Linked DNA regions of Oryctolagus cuniculus. The protein of the gene in region 2 purifies or fractionates together with the protein of the main gene of each other region. This does not show direct contact. Links are inferred from orthologs where the notes say so. Each region holds a gene or a part of one and is shown on either strand. Other genes may lie near its edges.

Region 1 (8,365 bases), on a different chromosome or scaffold from region 2:
CCATATGGGATGCCGGCGCTGCAGGCAGAGGACTGACCAAGTGAGCCACGGCGCCACCCATTTTTTCTTTATAAAAATATTTGAAAGGCAGTGACAGAGATCTTCCATCCACCAATTCATTCCCCAAATGGCCTCGGCAGACGGGACGGGCCAGGCCGCAGCCATGAGCCAGAACTCCGGTACTTGAGCCATCATCTGCTCTGCCCAGGCACATTGCGTGGGCCTAGAAGCACAGCAGCCTGGACCTGAACCGTGGCACTCTGCCACAGGATGCAGGCCTCTCAAGCCTTCCCCGTTCCATTAATCACCTGAATTAACAAGTGGACATTAAAAGGGTGGTAGCCATTTTTGTAAGTAAACAGCAATCTCAAAAAAGGACAAGACAGCTACTGCAGGGAGCTGGGCCCAGCAAAACTGCGGCAAAGCTGTTTGGCTTCAACTGTGAATTCTGGAGGAAAAGCGGCCCCGCAACGGCCCAGGTGTAGCTCCTAGTAATCACGCAGATCTAGCCTGGAAGGTTTTGCCCAGCGGTCACTGTGCCGTGGCTTCTCAGGAGTGCTCGAGCTGATGGAAGCGGTGCACTGCGGCGTTAGCGTGGCAGTTCCTGGATTTGAGGCTCCCTTCCTATGACACAGACCAGGTAGCCCCTGCCCTACAGGCCACGTTCCATGTCCTATCTCTGCATTCCATGGAGTCTGGCCTGTCCCACCTTCAGCCCGCCTAAATCAGAGTATAAGGAAAGGAACATGTGACGCGACCACTGGCCACGGAAGAGTGCCACGCACACAGGAAGTGGTCTGAGGGCGGGCCCCTGGAATGGGGCTGCAGTTCCAGACTTCACGTAGTGTTTTAATCACTGAGTCTATATTTAGCACGACAATGGGAGAGAGAGGAGGAAGGGGTGGGTGGTGAGAGGGCCTCAGAGGAGCTGGGCCACTTTCTGCACCGGCTGCAGAGCCTTGCAGTCCTGGCTGGAAGTTCCTGGTCTTGTGGCCTTCGGAAGCCCTGCCAGGCGCCACAGAGGTGCTGAAGCAGCTACAGTGTGGTGGCGGTGCCGGCCCCATCAGAGAGACGTCACCAGGGCTGTCATTCAGTCCTCCACTCCACAGCTGGAGGAGCCTGCCAGCCACGGAGTCCAGCTGGGCTCACTGGGACTGCAGAGTCACGGCCACAGCCTTGGCTGTGGCGTTGAGCACGGCGGCAGGTAGCTTGGCAGCAGGCAGCGCGGCGGGGATGTCTCTGGGGACTCTCTGCATGGGCGGGACGTTGGGGCCCTCCAGCGTGTCCAGGATCCCTGAAAGCAGGATGGAGGGGGAGCGGGGGTCGGCTGGGCCCTCCCTGGGCCACCGCGCTGCCGCTCTCCCACTGCAGGCTCCCCGCCACTCACCTTCCACCACCTTGTGGTAGGCAAAATGCAGATAGAGCAGGAAGAGCATGTGCAGGGCGGCCAGGGTGCCGCAGAGCAGCAGCCGCTGGGTGGGGCCGACGGTTCGTGACACCAGCACCGCCACCTGGGGCCGCAGGAATACAGCTCAGAGCCTTGTTCCAAAGTGAGGGTGGGGAGACCACCCTCCCACCCAAGGCAGATGGCTCCTTGAGCCCTCCCCTCCCGTTCAGAGCCCTCTGTGGGGTGGACAGCTCTGGGCTGTCAGCCGCAACTCCCTGGGAGGACGGCCCGCCCCTAGACCGTGGCCCAGCTCACCATGCGCAGGGTGGACAGCCCGCCCACCAGCAGCCAGAAGAGGTAGAAGAGGGCGTGCAGGTGGATGTTGTAGGTGATGAACAGGACAATGCAGTGCCCGAAGAGGCCATAGCCCTGGGAAGGATGGGGAGGGGAGGCTCACTCAGCCAGGCTGGCCTCTGGCCCCTCGGGGGACTCGGGAATGAACGCGTCACTGGTCCACTCCTCAAACTCCAGGTCCTGGGGCCCCAGGAAAGATGCAGCCCAAGCTTTTAAGACCACCCTTGTGCACCACCCGGCCCGGCTCCTTACCAGCAGGGCCAGCATCTGCAGCATGGTGATCTGGGCGTTGCACAGGTAGGCGAGGAAGTAAATGAAAGACGAGACGCCTAGCCAGTAGCCGAAGCAGGTGCCAATGGCAGTGCCCATCAGGGTGCCCTCCCGCTGCGGGCAAAGGCTCTCCTTAGTCCTGGGAGGCCTCTGATCTGAGCCTCACCCACTTCCTCCACAGGGACCACCCCTGCCTCACTCCATCATCTCCTCGGGCGACTTGCACCCCCCACCCCCCGCAACCTCCCCCGCCTCCGTCTGGCTTACGATAATGGTGTCGGATGTCTTCATTCCATGCAGGAGGATGGCAACCAGCGTGAAGACCAGCATGAGAGGACCATAGAGCTCACCTGCGATTTTCTGTCAATACACCGGCTCACTCAGGCTGGAGGCTACGCTCCTCTGTGTATGCTACCCCCTGCCCCCGCCCCAGAGCCACCCCCAACACTCAGGAACAGGCCGACCCCACTCACCTGTGGGAAGTTGACCATCTTGATAGGGATCATGGACTCCAGGAGCCTGGGAGAGGAGAGGAGAGGACAGCTGAGGCAGCGCTAGGCTACGAGGCTCATGGCCTGAACCTTAGTCCTCTAACTCCAGGGGCTGGGGCCTGGCCCAGAGGGCATGCTGGGTGACAGGGAGAAAAGGGGCCCAAAGACAGGGAATGAGGAAATTACTCTCTTGCCCCTAAAGCTACTTCCACGAAGGACAGCCCTCTAAGACTAAGCAGCCAGAGTAGCAGCTGTATGAGAACTGAGTGCAGCGGACCTTGGGAGAGGGCCTGACCATCTGTCTGCCCGACCTGCTCTCCGTAAGAGACAGGCAAACCACGGCAGGGAGCGCGTGGGGTTCAGTGCTGACGACGCAGCCCGGGACAGAAGAACCCATGGGCCTCCTGCTGTTGCTTCTTCCTGCTTACTGCTCAGCCGACACTGCAAAGCTTTTTTTTTAAGATTTATTTTATTTTGAAATGCAGAATTACAGAGACAGACAGACAAAGAGAAATCTTCCATCCTCTGGTTCACTCCCCAAATGGCCACAACAGCTGGGGGTGGGCCAGACCGAAGCCAGGAGCCAGGAGCTTCATCCAGGTTTCCCACGTGGATGCAGGGGCCCAAGCACATGGGGCATCTCCCATGGCTTTCCCAAGTGCATTAGCAGGGAGCTGGATCAGAAGTGGAGCAGCCGGACTCAAGCTGGCGCCCATAAGGAATGCTGGTGTTGCAGGCAGTGGCTTTACCTGCTATGCCACAATGCTGGCCCCATGAGCATCTTTTTGAAAAATATATTTGAAGTGGTATCAAAATTCCATACAGAAGGAATAAAAGTCCCTGTGACTGTCCTAAGTGGCTGGCTAACAATACTTCGGATTTTAGCTAGATTTTTCTTCCTCTGGGAAACCTGCCCTGTCCGAAGCACTAGCGACGCTGCCCAGGTGTCCCCCCTCCCGTGGGCCCCACTGAAGCTCAGGACACTGTGCTGCAACCACCCTCACCACGGACGCAGAGGGCATCAGCAGGGTCTGACACCGAGCGGATGTTTAGTAAGCTCTTGCCAAGTGATTCTATTCAATAAGCACTGGTTCAACTAAAAGATGAACAAGGAATCAAGCCACGATTCAGTCTAGTACTTGACTATGCCCTGATGTTCTGGTTTCAGGGATAAAAAGATGAACAAGGAAGGGGCCAGTGTTTGGCACACCAGGTTAAGTGCTGCTTGCAATCCCACGTCAGAGTGCCAGTTCCTGTCCTGCCTGCTCCACTTCTGATCCAGCTTCCTGCTAACGTGCCTGGGAGGCCGTGGGAAACGGCCCTACTGTTGGGGTGCCTACAAGGGAAACCCAGATGGAGTCACACTGGCTCTTGGCTAAAGCCAAGGGCAGTGGCCCAGCTCTGGCTACTGCAGCCGTTTGGGGAGTGAACCAGCAGACAGAAGATTTCTCTCTCTGTCCTGTCACTCTTTCAAATAAATAAATAAATCTTAATAAAAAAAACCCACAGTGAAGGATATGATTACCCAATAAGGTGGGTAACTGTAACTTAAAGAAATAAAGACTGTAACTTAAATAAAGTAAAACAAACAAACAAAGATGAACCAGACGGAGCCTGGGGAGACAGACGTGGAAGAAGAGAGCGTAGCAGTGCTGAACTGAAAATGCACCCCGAGTGAACGAGGCGGGCTGGGGCTCAGAAACGCAGAGCAAAGGAGGCGACACTTGAGCTCAACTTTGGAGGAAGAGGAGTAGAAACGAATTGGTGCCCTGTGCGGGGAGGAGGGGTGAGGGCGTCAGGAAGGACAGCAGAGCCCAGGGCTGGGTGAGGGACCGGGGCTCAGGAGGTGAGCCTCACCTGCTGCGCACCTGGGCAGGCTCCACATCGAAGTAGGGTCTCAGGATGTCGATGTTGGCATACAAACTGAAGGCTCTGGAAGCTTGTCTCTTCCCGGCCTGCCACATCTGAGCGGAGATGCGGGGATGGCCCGTGAGGCTCCTGGCCCTGGGGTCCTGCTCCCTAGCTTCTGTCGGGGTTCTACTGGGCTCCAACTGGGGCAGCCTGAGGTCAAGGTCACCCACACGACTCCAGATCGCGCAGGTATCCTGCACTTGCCAAGGATTCAGCCCCGCTTACCTGGTCAGCCACCTGCCGGCTCAGCTGCCCCTTAAAGCCCTTCATGCCCAGGAACTCCCCATCCTCCTCTTCCGCAGCGGCCGCGTCGGCGTCCACTTCTTCCTCGCGCAGGCGCTGGTGCAGCTCACCCATGTCCTCGAAGCTGGAGCCCGAGGTGTCATCCATGTTCTCCATGTCAATCACGGCAGAGCCCCCACCCTGTGAAGGCAATGCCTCCTACAGTGCAGGCCTTTCTGGTCCCTGCCCCGCTGCTGGCGCCGCGCCTCCGAATCCCCGCACATCAGGCCACTGTCACCCCTCACTTTCTCTCAGAACCCCCTGGCTGCTGGTTCCGGCGCTCTCCTCTAGCCCGAGAAGCCACCTACTTGTCTTCCGCTCATGCCTTTTCCCCACCTTCCCCATCAAAGGCCCCGAGGGTTTGCAAGGCGCAAGCAAGACCATGCACACAAGATGTTTCTGGCGAGTGCCAGCGAATCCCGCCCACTGCCCCGCTTGACCCCGATTGACCTCCTCTTCTGTCTCTCTTCCTAACGCCTCAGGCGCGTCCAGAGACCCGAGGCCCTCCGGCCGGCACTAGCTTCACTGACTTTCCCGTGCACGAAGACCCAAAGGGGAGAGGAGTGTTGCAAATGGAGGAAGCTTTCGGGCCCCGAGGGAGGCTTCCCCAGACACGTCGGGGTGGCCGGCAGCCGAAGCGCTGGGGCCATTACCTGGATGTTTTCTTCGAACCCGCCCCATTCCGGGCCGGCCCCGTTTCGAGCGCCGCCGGCCGGCGCCGCGGTGGCTGCCATGTCCCTGGAGGGCTCCCGTCCCCGAAGCCAGCGCTAGCCCCGCGCGCGGAGGAAGAGGGGGCAGACGTGGGCCTGAGGCACGGAGACGTCCAGGGCCGAGGACAGGCGCCACCAGCCGGAACGCAAAAAAGAGAAACCCGGATGTTTGGCCCAGACAGACTTCCGGAAGTTGGGGACGTGGACGGAGGCGGGGCAAAGTCTCGCGATACGTCGGGCTCCGGGAGGCGGTGCGTTGCCACGGCGACGGAGGAAAGCCGCTAGAACGCACGCGCAGGCGTGAGGCCTTAGTCTCGTGGGGGAAGTCGAAGATGGCGGCGGCTCAGGCCGTTGAAGAAATGCGGAGCCGCGTGGTTTTAGGGGAGTTCGGAGTTCGGAATGTAAGCCTTGTGGCCTTGAGTTCAGAAGGAAGTATGAGAGGGACGGGTCGGGATCAAAGTGAGGGCGGGCTTGGCTTCGCTGCCTCTTCACGGACGGACCCGTATCTCTAGGTTCATACCACCGACTTCCCCGGGAACTATTCCGGTTATGATGATGCCTGGGATCAGGACCGCTTCGAGAAGGTGCGTGGGGCCGGAGTGTGATCGGAGCAGCCCGGGCTTCCGAGCTGCTCCCAGGGGTCACTCACGTGGCAAAACCAAGTTTGCTCAGCATCCGACCGTGTCCTGGGCGCTCCTTGCACACCGGGCTTCTGCCTTGTTCTGCGATCGAGCTGTTCAGGCCTGTACAGGTCATTCTAGTTGGATGCGGTGACGGCGGCTGAGAGTGGGGGTGGGGCACCCCTCAGAGACGGTCTAGACTGGGGCAGAATCATAGGATTCCCTGAAGGAAGTGACATCTGAGTTTGAGCCCTGAACGGTGAGTGAAGGTCGAGGAGGGAGGAGTAAGCGAGCTAACTTGTAAAGACGGGGTGGGCGTGTCCCTAGAATGTCCGAACCGCGCATTATTGATAGAATGTTACACTGGCCTGACGGCGGGCACTGGGGGTTCTTGAGCAGGCGTGACCAGGTGATCCGGTTTGCAGCTTTGGTGGTTGAGAAGGAGGAGAAGGGGCGGGCAGATCGCTAGGCAGTGCTGGGGGAAGGAGCCCAGGAGTGCTTTGGTGAGAGCGGTCAGGACTTTCTGGCTGTGGGAACTCATCTGACGGCTGGCGGTGCCTGGGCAGTGGGAACGATGACCCATTCGGTTCCCCGCGGTGTGGAGGAGCTAGCAGCCCAGGAGAGCGTTCGACAGAATGTGGGGAGTTGTCCATAGTAGTTGCTAAAACCGTGAGTGTGGTTGATGTCACTTTGGAGAGAGACAAGAAGCTGGGGACCGGTAACACCTAGGTGGTGGGTGGAAGGAGACGCAACTCCTCAGATGGAGGACTGGTGCCCAGACACGGAGGAGATGGGGTTTGAGAAAGGAGTTTTTTTTTTTTTTTTTTTTTTTTTTTTTAATTCAATGCCAAATGTAACATTAGTAAGAAAAGAACTGAGTCCTGTCAGCTGGACTAAACTGTATAGAAGTTTCTGCTCTTCATAGAATAGCTTCTGGCTCAAGCCATATTGCATAGGATTTTCAACTAGTGGCATACAAAACTGGGGGCATTGTTCAAGAAACTAAAAGAACAGAGGAAGAAAACATCAAATGAGGCTTTGCTGGGCAGAGGAAGGCTTCTGGGGGAGCGGGGATGTTCCGTGTCAAGGGGGAGCTGTAGCCAGGTCACACCAAGAGCAGGCTCCATCCACTTGTTTTTCCTTTGCCTCTAGAACTTCCGCGTGGATGTGGTACACATGGATGAAAACTCGCTGGAGTTTGACATGGTGGGAATTGATGCGGCCATTGCCAATGCTTTCCGGCGAATTCTGCTGGCGGAGGTATCAGCGGGGCCGGTGACGGCTGGAGCGTGGGGAAGTGTGCCATCACCTCATCTGTCAGTGTCTCAAGTTGCCCCCCCCCCCCCCCCCCGATTTTGTGGAGTGTTTTGCTTTAAGTTTTTATGAGGCATTCTTCTAGGAGTTGTCCATCTCAGGAGGTGGGGAGTCTGCCGGGTTTTTATAGACGGGTAATCCTGGTCTCTGGGTAGGTGCCCACAATGGCTGTGGAGAAGGTACTGGTGTACAACAACACATCCATCGTGCAGGATGAGATCCTGGCTCACCGCCTGGGGCTCATTCCCATTCATGCTGATCCACGACTGTTTGAATATCGGAACCAAGGTGAGGGCCTGGGAGATGAAGCTGTTGGGGGAAGTGGAACCGCTTTCTTCCTTAGTAGATCCTGGGACCAGCTGCCTGGGTTCGAATCCTGGGTTGACTCTTGTGGCCCTGGGCAAGTGACTCATCATCTGTGGACGAGAGGAGCAGCACACGGGTAGCACTCGGCAGTGTCTACCCTGATGCTCACTGCTGCTGTAAGGGCCGCCTCTTCCCTTTGTGCAGGGGACGACGAGGGCACAGAGATAGACACTCTGCAGTTTCGGCTGCAGGTCAGGTGCACTCGGAACCCCCACGCTGCTAAAGATTCCTCTGACCCCAACGAGCTCTATGTGAATCACAAAGGTTAGTGGGCAAGGAGGGAGGCCTGGCTGCTGGCTGTGGGGGCGTCTCGGGGCTACAGCCCTCTGACTTGTCTTCCCTCCAGTGTACACCAGGCACATGACGTGGGTTCCCCTGGGGAACCAGGCTGACCTCTTCCCTGAGGGCACTATCCGGCCGGTGCACGATGATATCCTCATTGCCCAGCTGCGACCTGGCCAAGAGATTGACCTGCTCATGCACTGTGTCAAGGGCATCGGTGAGACCCGTGGGCCGCCTCAGGTGCAGGGCGTAGCTTAGTCGCCGCAGGAATCCAGGGATGCTCCTGACCGGCAGAAGGCGGTGGGCTTGGGCTTTCGCGCTCAGTGGCTCGGGAGAGGATTCCCCCAGGCTGATCTCTCCCTTCCCTGCAGGCAAGGA
Region 2 (8,288 bases):
AGCCCTGCTTGCTGTGCACGGAACCCGCCAGCTCCTGAGTCGTGAACAGAGCCCAGAACGAAGCCCCTCCTCTGGGCCAGTGATGGGGAAAAACGAACCTGCTTCTCTGCCCTGCTGGGCAGCGTGCTCGCAGCCTCTGGGTGCCTCTGAGAGGGGCCAGAGGGCAGCCGGCAGGTTGGACACAGAGAACGCCCACAGTGGGCAGTGTGGCTTACACGGGTGTGCTGCTGGCTTCCTGCTTTAGGGTCAGATGCACTTAGAAGCACTCACAGTGGTGATCCCCAACCCAGGGGCAGGACTGGAAGTATCTCCCCCTCTACCTCTATCTGGAGGACACTGACTCTTGGTGCAAAAACCTGACAGCTCAGGCTGCCACAGCCTTCCCACCTCACAGCCTCAGAGGTACCAGCACCCAGACACAGCAACTGTGTCTGCAAAAGCCAAGACTGGGAGCAGTGGGGAGGCAGAGCTGAGCCGATCGGCAATGGGGATGCTGGGCTGACCTTTAGGGGCCACTCTGGAGCTCAAGAATGAATAAATAAAGGGCCAATCACTGTTTCTCAACTACTCTGTCTTGAGTCAGGGGCCGGCAAGGCTCAGAGACACAGAAATACACACAGGCACCGTGGCCAGCGCTAGGGTTGCAGCTCCTAGGTGAGGTCTCCCAGGAACAGACTCCTGAGCTGACCAGGCTGGGTGCTAACTGAAACCAGGTCAGATGCTGCCCTGCAGGGGACAGGAAGACTGTGGAGTGCATCTCGGCGTGATCCCAGGGCATCTCTCGGGGTCCCTCAGCCCCACCCTCCCCAGGTAGTCTGGCCTGTCCTTCATCTAGGCAGCTGTGTAACTCCAGAGTAACTGTGCCCACCACCCACCACTGTCAGTCTTGGACCATGCTCAGAGTCTGGCACTGGGCCCTCCAAAAGCAAACATGTCCTAATACTTCTTTCCTGCCAGCCAGAGGCCTGTGATCAGGGGTCAGGAAAGGTGAAAGACTGCCAAAACTGACATGGAATGGGTCCCACCCAGCCAATCCATCCACTCACCTGACAACCACTGGGCAGGCTGCAGCGGGCTGCAGGACTTTGCCTGAATCCTCATTTGGGGGACTGGGTGAGCAGTCCAGAGTCCAAGCCAAGTACCACCTCCCTACCCCTGCTTCATGTGTTTCCGAAGGCACTGGTGCCCTGAAAGGTACTAAACTCCCAGCTCCCAGCTCATCCACGCCTCCACTTGAATGTGTGGGTTTAAGACTCAACCACGAGTCTGGCATGGTTACCCCTTGGCTGGATAATCCGGGAAAGCAGGCCCCACTGAAAACAGCTGGGAGTAACTCTGGCAAAGCAGCAAGATTGGCTGTGCTTCTTGGTCAGAAACGTGCCTTTCGGGTGGTGATGGTCTCACAGGACTACAGGCACACGTGCTCAAGCTTTTCCTACTGCACACCTTGGATGTACAGTTTTTAAAAATGTCTTCTACATTGCAACAAAGCTGTTACCTCTTTTGAAAAAGACTTGTGTCTCTGAGAAAGAATCGTGTCTCTTCTACTTACACATGACTGGTGCTACTTTTCAGTAATGGGAAGTCGAGATGACAGAGCTCCCTGGGACTGAACATTCTGACCTATGAACTGGCTGGAAGGGAAAAGACAGGGTCTTTGCCCAGGAGGCAGAAGCTCTTCCCAGATGTACCTGACCTCACCGCACCAGTGGTCAAACAGCCCGGTAAGCACTACGTGTTACCGAACACGCTGTGTGCCGGACAATCTCGTCCTGCCTCTGGCTGCCATTCTGGCCTCAAGGCTGTCAGGGCAAAGTCAAGAGGTTATCAGCTAATGCATCCTCTACATCTGGCAGTGCCCCATTGAGAGGAGAGGCTCAGGGACTGTTTGGCCACACGGTGAGAGAGGGAGTGGGTAAACGAAAGGGCTGTCAACCTTCACCACCACCCTTCAGTATCCTTTAGGCTTGGCCCTTGGGCTTCACTACCCAAAGTGCAGAGGAACCCTGAATCTCTGTCTCTGGATGAGTTATTTTCCTTGCTCCCTGACCCCCTGCCTCGTGGCAACTGTCAGAACTCTGAGCCAAGGATGTCCTCAGATAGCCAGAGAGGGATTCAAACTGGGTACAGGCCGATGCGCAGGTCAGGTCTCAGCTTGGGGGGGGGGGGGTTCCTAACAACTCCCAGGAGTCAGAAGGGCGCAAAAGTTCCAAAGGAACCTCTGTGCCTGCACGCTGGAACGGGCTTCGGGGTGCGTGGGCAATCTGAGAAACCACACAGGTTTGCAGAGGAGGGGGCAGTCCCGGGCCCAGAAGCACCGCCAGGGGGACTGCGTGAGTCCCCACAGCCCAGGGATGACTAAGAGGCGAGGTGGGGGCTGGCCTAGAAGCATGCGCACCATCAGGCAATTCCTGAGCCCGTTCACTTCACAACCTGCCCGCTTCTTCCTGCCAAGTCCAGTGCCTTGCTCCAGATCCACAGTACCACACCCCGGGACACAGGGTGGAGAATCTCAGTTCCTTGAGAATACCCCGGTCGATCCTTTCTGGCTACCCCCCAAGTTTCCCTCCTAAAAACTATCCATTTTTCTCCAACTTTAGAGAAGATTCCTTAAATCATTCATTAAGCCAATCAATCATAAGCTGCCCAGTTCACTGCAAGTGGATGCACCTTGATGTGAACCAGGGAAAAAACAAACTGCAGATCTGAGGCTTTAGTCTCTGTTGAAACCTAGGAACAAGAATTTAATCCCATTGTGCAAACGCCTCTCTGTGGGATCTGGCACACAGGGCAGGCTTAGAGACATTTGGCAGGCACAGGACAAGCTACAGTGGTCAATGGGCCTGGTTGAAAGAAAGTGGACCTTAGGAAAAAAAAAAAAAAAAGAAACCTTTCAGAATGTTGCTGCAGCAGCTCCCAACAGCGACTGTTCACCTGAGAACAGCAGCCCGAACTCACGCATTCCAGATCCCAAAACAAAGGACTGTGTATTAATTTTCCTCTCCACAGAGACGGAAAACCTGGAAGTAGGCGAAAGGGCATAGAGCTTTGACGAAACTGCTGAGACAGCGAAATGAATAGTCTAAACAAAAGAATACAAGGCGGACTAACACGGGCAGCACCGGATCCGCCGGGCCGTGGGAGCGCCTCGGGGCTGCTACCTCTCTCAGCTGAGGGCAGGGTGTGGGCACTGAAGGACAGCAGCCAATGATGGGGTCAGGCTAGGGGACCCTCAAGGGTCCGGGGAAATCCTGGGAAGCCCTGGGCCTCTTCCAGCTTCACGCCTGCCCCCTTCCTCCGGCAGCCCCTAGCAGATGCATAGGGACTTCTGTGTCGTGAAGTCTGGCTTTCCCTCAGTGGCCCCTACCTGTGACTGTGTGGACAAGCCAGTTCTCCCTGGCTTCTAGGAAGGGAACAAACTCACTTGGAAGGCTAGGACCCAAGACCCGTACCCACCGAAAGCTCCCGTTCTCCATGCATTCTCTGGAGGTTTGAGTCCCCAGATCATGGTCAGCTACCTCCATTCTGCCCTTTTGTCCCTGAGAACGCCTGAGGATACTGCAATGATGTCACTCCCTGTGGGGTTCAGGTCACACTCAGTTCACAGGTGCTGGGGACATCAAATTTCTCTACGCAAACACATGTCTGAGCTTCCCAGGACAGCGCTCAGACTCCCTGGAAAGAACACACCTGGAGCCCCAGAGCCCCCGTAAGGCTCCAAGAGGGAACGTTACCGTCTGATGCCACACTGGGTCCCTGCCGCCTCCCCTCCCTGTGAACTCTGCCCTGCGTGCACAAATTCGTGCTATTGCATCTGGGTCATCCCAGAGTCACTGGGCAGGCAACATCTCCTGTAGGAGACCTTTCCTAACCTGGGAATCCCTAAACATGACACACAGGTGACCCAGTACCTACAAAGGAGTGCTCTGTCCACTGCTCTGCTTCCTCAGTTCTGTGGACACTCCGGGCAATGCCTAAGCAAGACACAAAGGACACTCACCTGCACCACTAACGTCATGTCAGGCACTGAGCCCCAAGGACAGCAGGTGCACCAGGGGACAGACACAACCCCTGGAAAGGAAAATCTGAGGGGCTGGGGACCAAGACCTCCACTACCCTCCACAAACAAAGCTTGTGCACTTGAACGCAGCGTGGCTGCCCAGTTCACCTGGGAGCATCCCACAAAACGTTCACAAGGCACCTGTATCTTCAGACACAAGGCTGTCAAAAGTTTGACAAGTGATCCGGGGCAAGAGGTGGACAGTTCCTCACAGGGCTGTCCCAGGGAGGGAACAGGCAGTCTTGGACACATGTTTCCCTTGACTATCAAAGCTCAGCACAGGAGTATTTCTCTAGTGGGAACGCATGCCAGGAAGCCAGAGGAGAGATGGTGCCAGCTCCACGTTCCAAGCTCCGGCTCTGCCACTCACCACTCCCACCCTCAAGCCAGAGGACGTCCCTTCTGGACTCCCTCTCCAAGGTGGCCGTGAGGAAGGCGCGGGAGAGGCAGCCTAACACCTGCTATTGCAGGGGCACGGTCTGGCTGGATGTCACCGGGCAACACGTTCCGGAGCCACCAGGGTATTCTAAGATGAGAGTTAACATTGCACCTGGGCTGGTGGCGGTGGATTTGAGGACCGAAGAGGTAGCTGCCTTTGCGCCCCTGGCCCGGCGGCCGGCGCGGCACCCACCTCGGTCACGATGGTGGACAGGTACACGTCCTGGCTGTACTCCCAGCCATCCAAGCAGCTCTCCTGCTCCAGCTGCTCCAGGTCCACGTCGCGCCCGGGCTCCAGCCCCAGCGCCGAGAAGTTGGCGATGGCGGCGAGCCGGTAGCGCCGGCAGCTGTGGGGCACCTCGCGGCCGTCCTGAAGCCGCAGCGGGACACTGTGGTTGCGCCACGCGCTGCTCAGGTTCGCCGACTCCGGCACCCGGCAGCGGTGCTCCGGGGTCGCCATGAGGAACACGGACGAGAGGCCATTGAAGCCGTTTGGGATGATGCTGGCGCTGAGCAGGAAGAAGATGAGGCGCTGGAAGGGTCCCCACTCGCCCAGGAACGCGGTCACCTCCTCGTAGTCCCGCATGCCGCCCTCAGCCGCCCGCGGCGCGCCGCCCGGGGTCGCGGACACTGCGGCGCGCGGGGGCGGGGCGGGGCGCGGCGAGCGCGTGCGCGTGCGCGTGTGCTCCCGGGCGTCCGGCGGAGCAGGGACCCGACACCGAGACCGTCCTTCGGCCGAGCAGGCTCGCGAGCTCCTGGCGCTCGGGCGCCGCCACCGGCCTTACATAGGGCGCCAGGCTGGGGCGGGCCCTGGGCCTGGGCTGCAAGGCCCGCCCCTCCGGCCGGCGGCGCGGCGCGGGCGGGGGCGGAGCTGCGGCGGGGCGCGGCGGCGGGTGGAGGGCTCTGGCCGCCGGGTGCACCTGCGGCGCGTCCCCGGCCTGTGCCCCTGGGCCGACCCCGAGTGCGAGCGCTGACGGCCCCGAAGCCGAGTCAGGACGTCGGCGTCAGGGGCCAGGCGCGCTGTGCCTGGGCCAGGTCGGTGGGAGGGTCCGGTGCTACCGTTGTCGCCTGTCCAGGTCCGCAGGGACTGGTGTGTCTGGCCCAAGGTCTCACTGCTGCTTAGGCTCCTTGTGAGAGTGGCAGGGATTATGTTAAACTGGGATTCTGGGAAGGAGGAGAGCCACGACTTTTCATTCTGGTCCAGATGCCATGTAACAAGGCCTTTTGTTCTTTTCTTTCTTGCTTTCTTTATTTGAAAGTCAGAGTTACGCAGAAAGAGAGAGAGAGAGGACTTCCATCCGCTAGTTCACTCTCCAACTGGCAGCAACGGCCAGATTCAGAAGCCAGAAGCCAGGAGCCGGGAGCTTCTTCCAGGTCTCCCACGTGGGTGCAGGGGCTTAAGGACTTGGGCCATGTTCTACTGCTTTCCCAGGCCATAGCAGAGAGCTGGATCGGAAGAGGAGCAGCCTAGATTCGAACCGGCGCCTGTATGGGATGCCAGCACTTTACCTGCTGTGCCACAGTGCCAACTCCTTGTTGTTCTTTAATTTGTTCAAGCAAATGTAAAAATTTAACTCCCAAGATTATAAACAATCCCAGCCTTGGATTAACTGTGTCCCTCAGATTAGTTATTTCTGAAAAGTTAACTCAGAAGTTGATAATTAAAAAAAAAAAATAGCAACTAGATGATTCTAAAGCAGCACCGGCTAAGGAGCTACATGTGTATTTTTAAATGTTTTATTAGCCATATTAAAATTTTCCCTATTTAGTAAATACACCGAGTTGAATGAGAATTTTACCTAATTAATGAATAATTTTTCAGGAGAAATGTGTCCCATGCACGAATATATGAACTGCAAATGGAACTGGGTGTCCTGTGTTTTATCTGGCAGTGCTTCTGGGAAAATGCAGAAAATTATGATGAAATAAACATCGAATGCACCTCTCCAAGTGGAGTGGAGAGGTTGTCAAGGGAGCAGGGTTTATGCATAATTCCAGCTGCTTCCTGGAAAGTGGACTTCGGTCACCTCCACCTTTGACCTCATGCATAAATGACATAAATGGCCAGTTACATTATACCCAGAGGCTCAAGATGCCTATCAATTGGATTCTTGTTCTATGGACATTTCTACCCTCTTTATATATCCTTTTATTTATTTCTTTTTTAAATTTTATTTTAAAGAGTAATGGGTGGGGGGGGGAGGGAGAGAGAGAGAGAGAGAGAGAGATCTTCCATCCACCGGTTCACTCCTCAAATGGCTACAGGCCCATAATTGAGCCCATCTAAAGCTAGGAGCCAGGAGCTTCTTCCAGGTCTCCCACTTGGGTGCAGGGGCCGAAATACTTGTGCCATCTTCCACTGCTTTCCCAGGCATATTAGCAGGGAGCTGGATCAGAAGTGGAGCAGCCAGGACTGGAACTAGCGCCCATATGGGATGCTTGCTCTGCAGGCAGCAGCTTTACCTGCTACGCCGCAGTGCCGGCCTCTCAGATCCTTTTCGTTACACCCGATTCGTCACAGTAGTCCAGGTTCCCTCTTATAAGCTCCCACTTTACCTGCCTTCCTCAGAGCAGATGCATAGCTTCCTGAACCTGTGTCTCCCAAATTACAATTCCTAAAACCCCTAATAAAGTTCTTTTAAAGTTTCTAAGTTTTAATTGAACAACACTGGATATTTAAAAAATAAAACATGAAATTAACTTAATAGTATACTTAGCTAATCTAGTGTGCCCAGAACTTGACCATTCCATCACATAGTCAATTTAGAAATTATTTAAATATTTTATATTCTTACATAAAAGCCATTGTTCCTACTCCCTCCCCTACTAAACTTTCAGACTCCAATATGGGTTTCATTTCAATTTGGACTAAGTACTCCCTAGCCCCATGTAGCTAGTGGCCATTGGAACAGTACCATTCTAAGGCTTTTGGGAATTTGGACTGCTAACTTAGACACTGCCAGTTATTCCTTTTCCATGATAATAGTGGCTTAGTGATAGAGAACTAAGTATACGTTTTTTACATGTCATCTGTTGGACAAACATTAATTAATAGTGACCATATTCTAAATTGAAAATAAAAATACAGAAGGAGAAGCTAACCTTGCCAGCAGATTTTATACAGGTGATAAGATATAAAGCATAATTGAGTTTTTAAAAATAATGAAAAATGTTTTCACCATTATTGCTCATTTCTTTACACTTACCGTTCCCCTCTATGCATAGACTTCAAAGGAGTCTTTGCACCAAAATGAATTTGTTTGAATTCTTTTTCCCACAAACTTTTTAAAGTACCCTCATATTCTTGCTTTCTGAAGATGGATGGTTATGTGTTCATAAATGCACTTCATCCTAACATCTGATCTTGACTGATAGTCCTTATCTGAAATCCAGTGAAAAAGGATGCAAGACTTCTGGAAAATAAGTGTTTCTTGTATCAAATATTTTAGTATTTCAGGGCTGGTGCTGTGGTGCAGTAGGTTAATCCTCTGCCTTCAGTGCTGGCATCCCATATGGGTGCTGGTTTGAGTCCCAGCTGCTCTTCTTCCAATCCGGCTCTCTGCCACAGCCTGGGAAAGCAGTGGAAGATGGCCCAGATCCTTGGGCCCCTGCATCTGCGTGGGAAACCCGGAGGAGGCTCCTGGCTCCTGGCATTGGATCGGCGCAGCTTCAGCCTTTGCGGGCATCTGGGGAAGTGAACCAGCGCATGGAAGACCTTTCTCTCTACCTCTCAAATAAAAAAAAATTTTTTTAGTATTTCAAATAAATGAAAAGCCCAGCGAGCCATCAC

Evidence for each region.
Region 1: the proteins of organic cation/carnitine transporter 2 (region 2) and YIPF3 purify together in Homo sapiens (co-immunoprecipitation; 3 studies listed by BioGRID and IntAct, counting the BioPlex papers as one, with this or other methods). This does not show direct contact. The link is inferred for Oryctolagus cuniculus from reciprocal best matches to the Homo sapiens genes SLC22A5 and YIPF3.

The regions. Positions count from the first base shown.
Region 1 is NC_091436.1:126,548,628-126,556,992, reverse strand, and holds YIPF3 (protein YIPF3), read right to left. Parts: upstream 5,503-8,365; 5' UTR 5,430-5,502; coding exon 5,349-5,429; intron 4,837-5,348; coding exon 4,639-4,836; intron 4,467-4,638; coding exon 4,360-4,466; intron 2,531-4,359; coding exon 2,485-2,530; intron 2,372-2,484; coding exon 2,279-2,371; intron 2,126-2,278; coding exon 1,994-2,125; intron 1,817-1,993; coding exon 1,703-1,816; intron 1,512-1,702; coding exon 1,388-1,511; intron 1,295-1,387; coding exon 1,146-1,294; 3' UTR 843-1,145; downstream 1-842. Other genes in the region: POLR1C (DNA-directed RNA polymerases I and III subunit RPAC1), read left to right, coding at 5,738-5,806, 5,918-5,989, 7,178-7,285, 7,495-7,627, 7,850-7,969, 8,052-8,204, 8,359-8,365. UniProt on the Homo sapiens protein: Involved in the maintenance of the Golgi structure. May play a role in hematopoiesis.
Region 2 is NC_091437.1:20,898,991-20,907,278, reverse strand, and holds the start of organic cation/carnitine transporter 2, read right to left. Parts: upstream 5,242-8,288; 5' UTR 5,085-5,241; coding exon 4,692-5,084; intron 1-4,691. UniProt on the Homo sapiens protein: Sodium-ion dependent, high affinity carnitine transporter. Involved in the active cellular uptake of carnitine. Transports one sodium ion with one molecule of carnitine.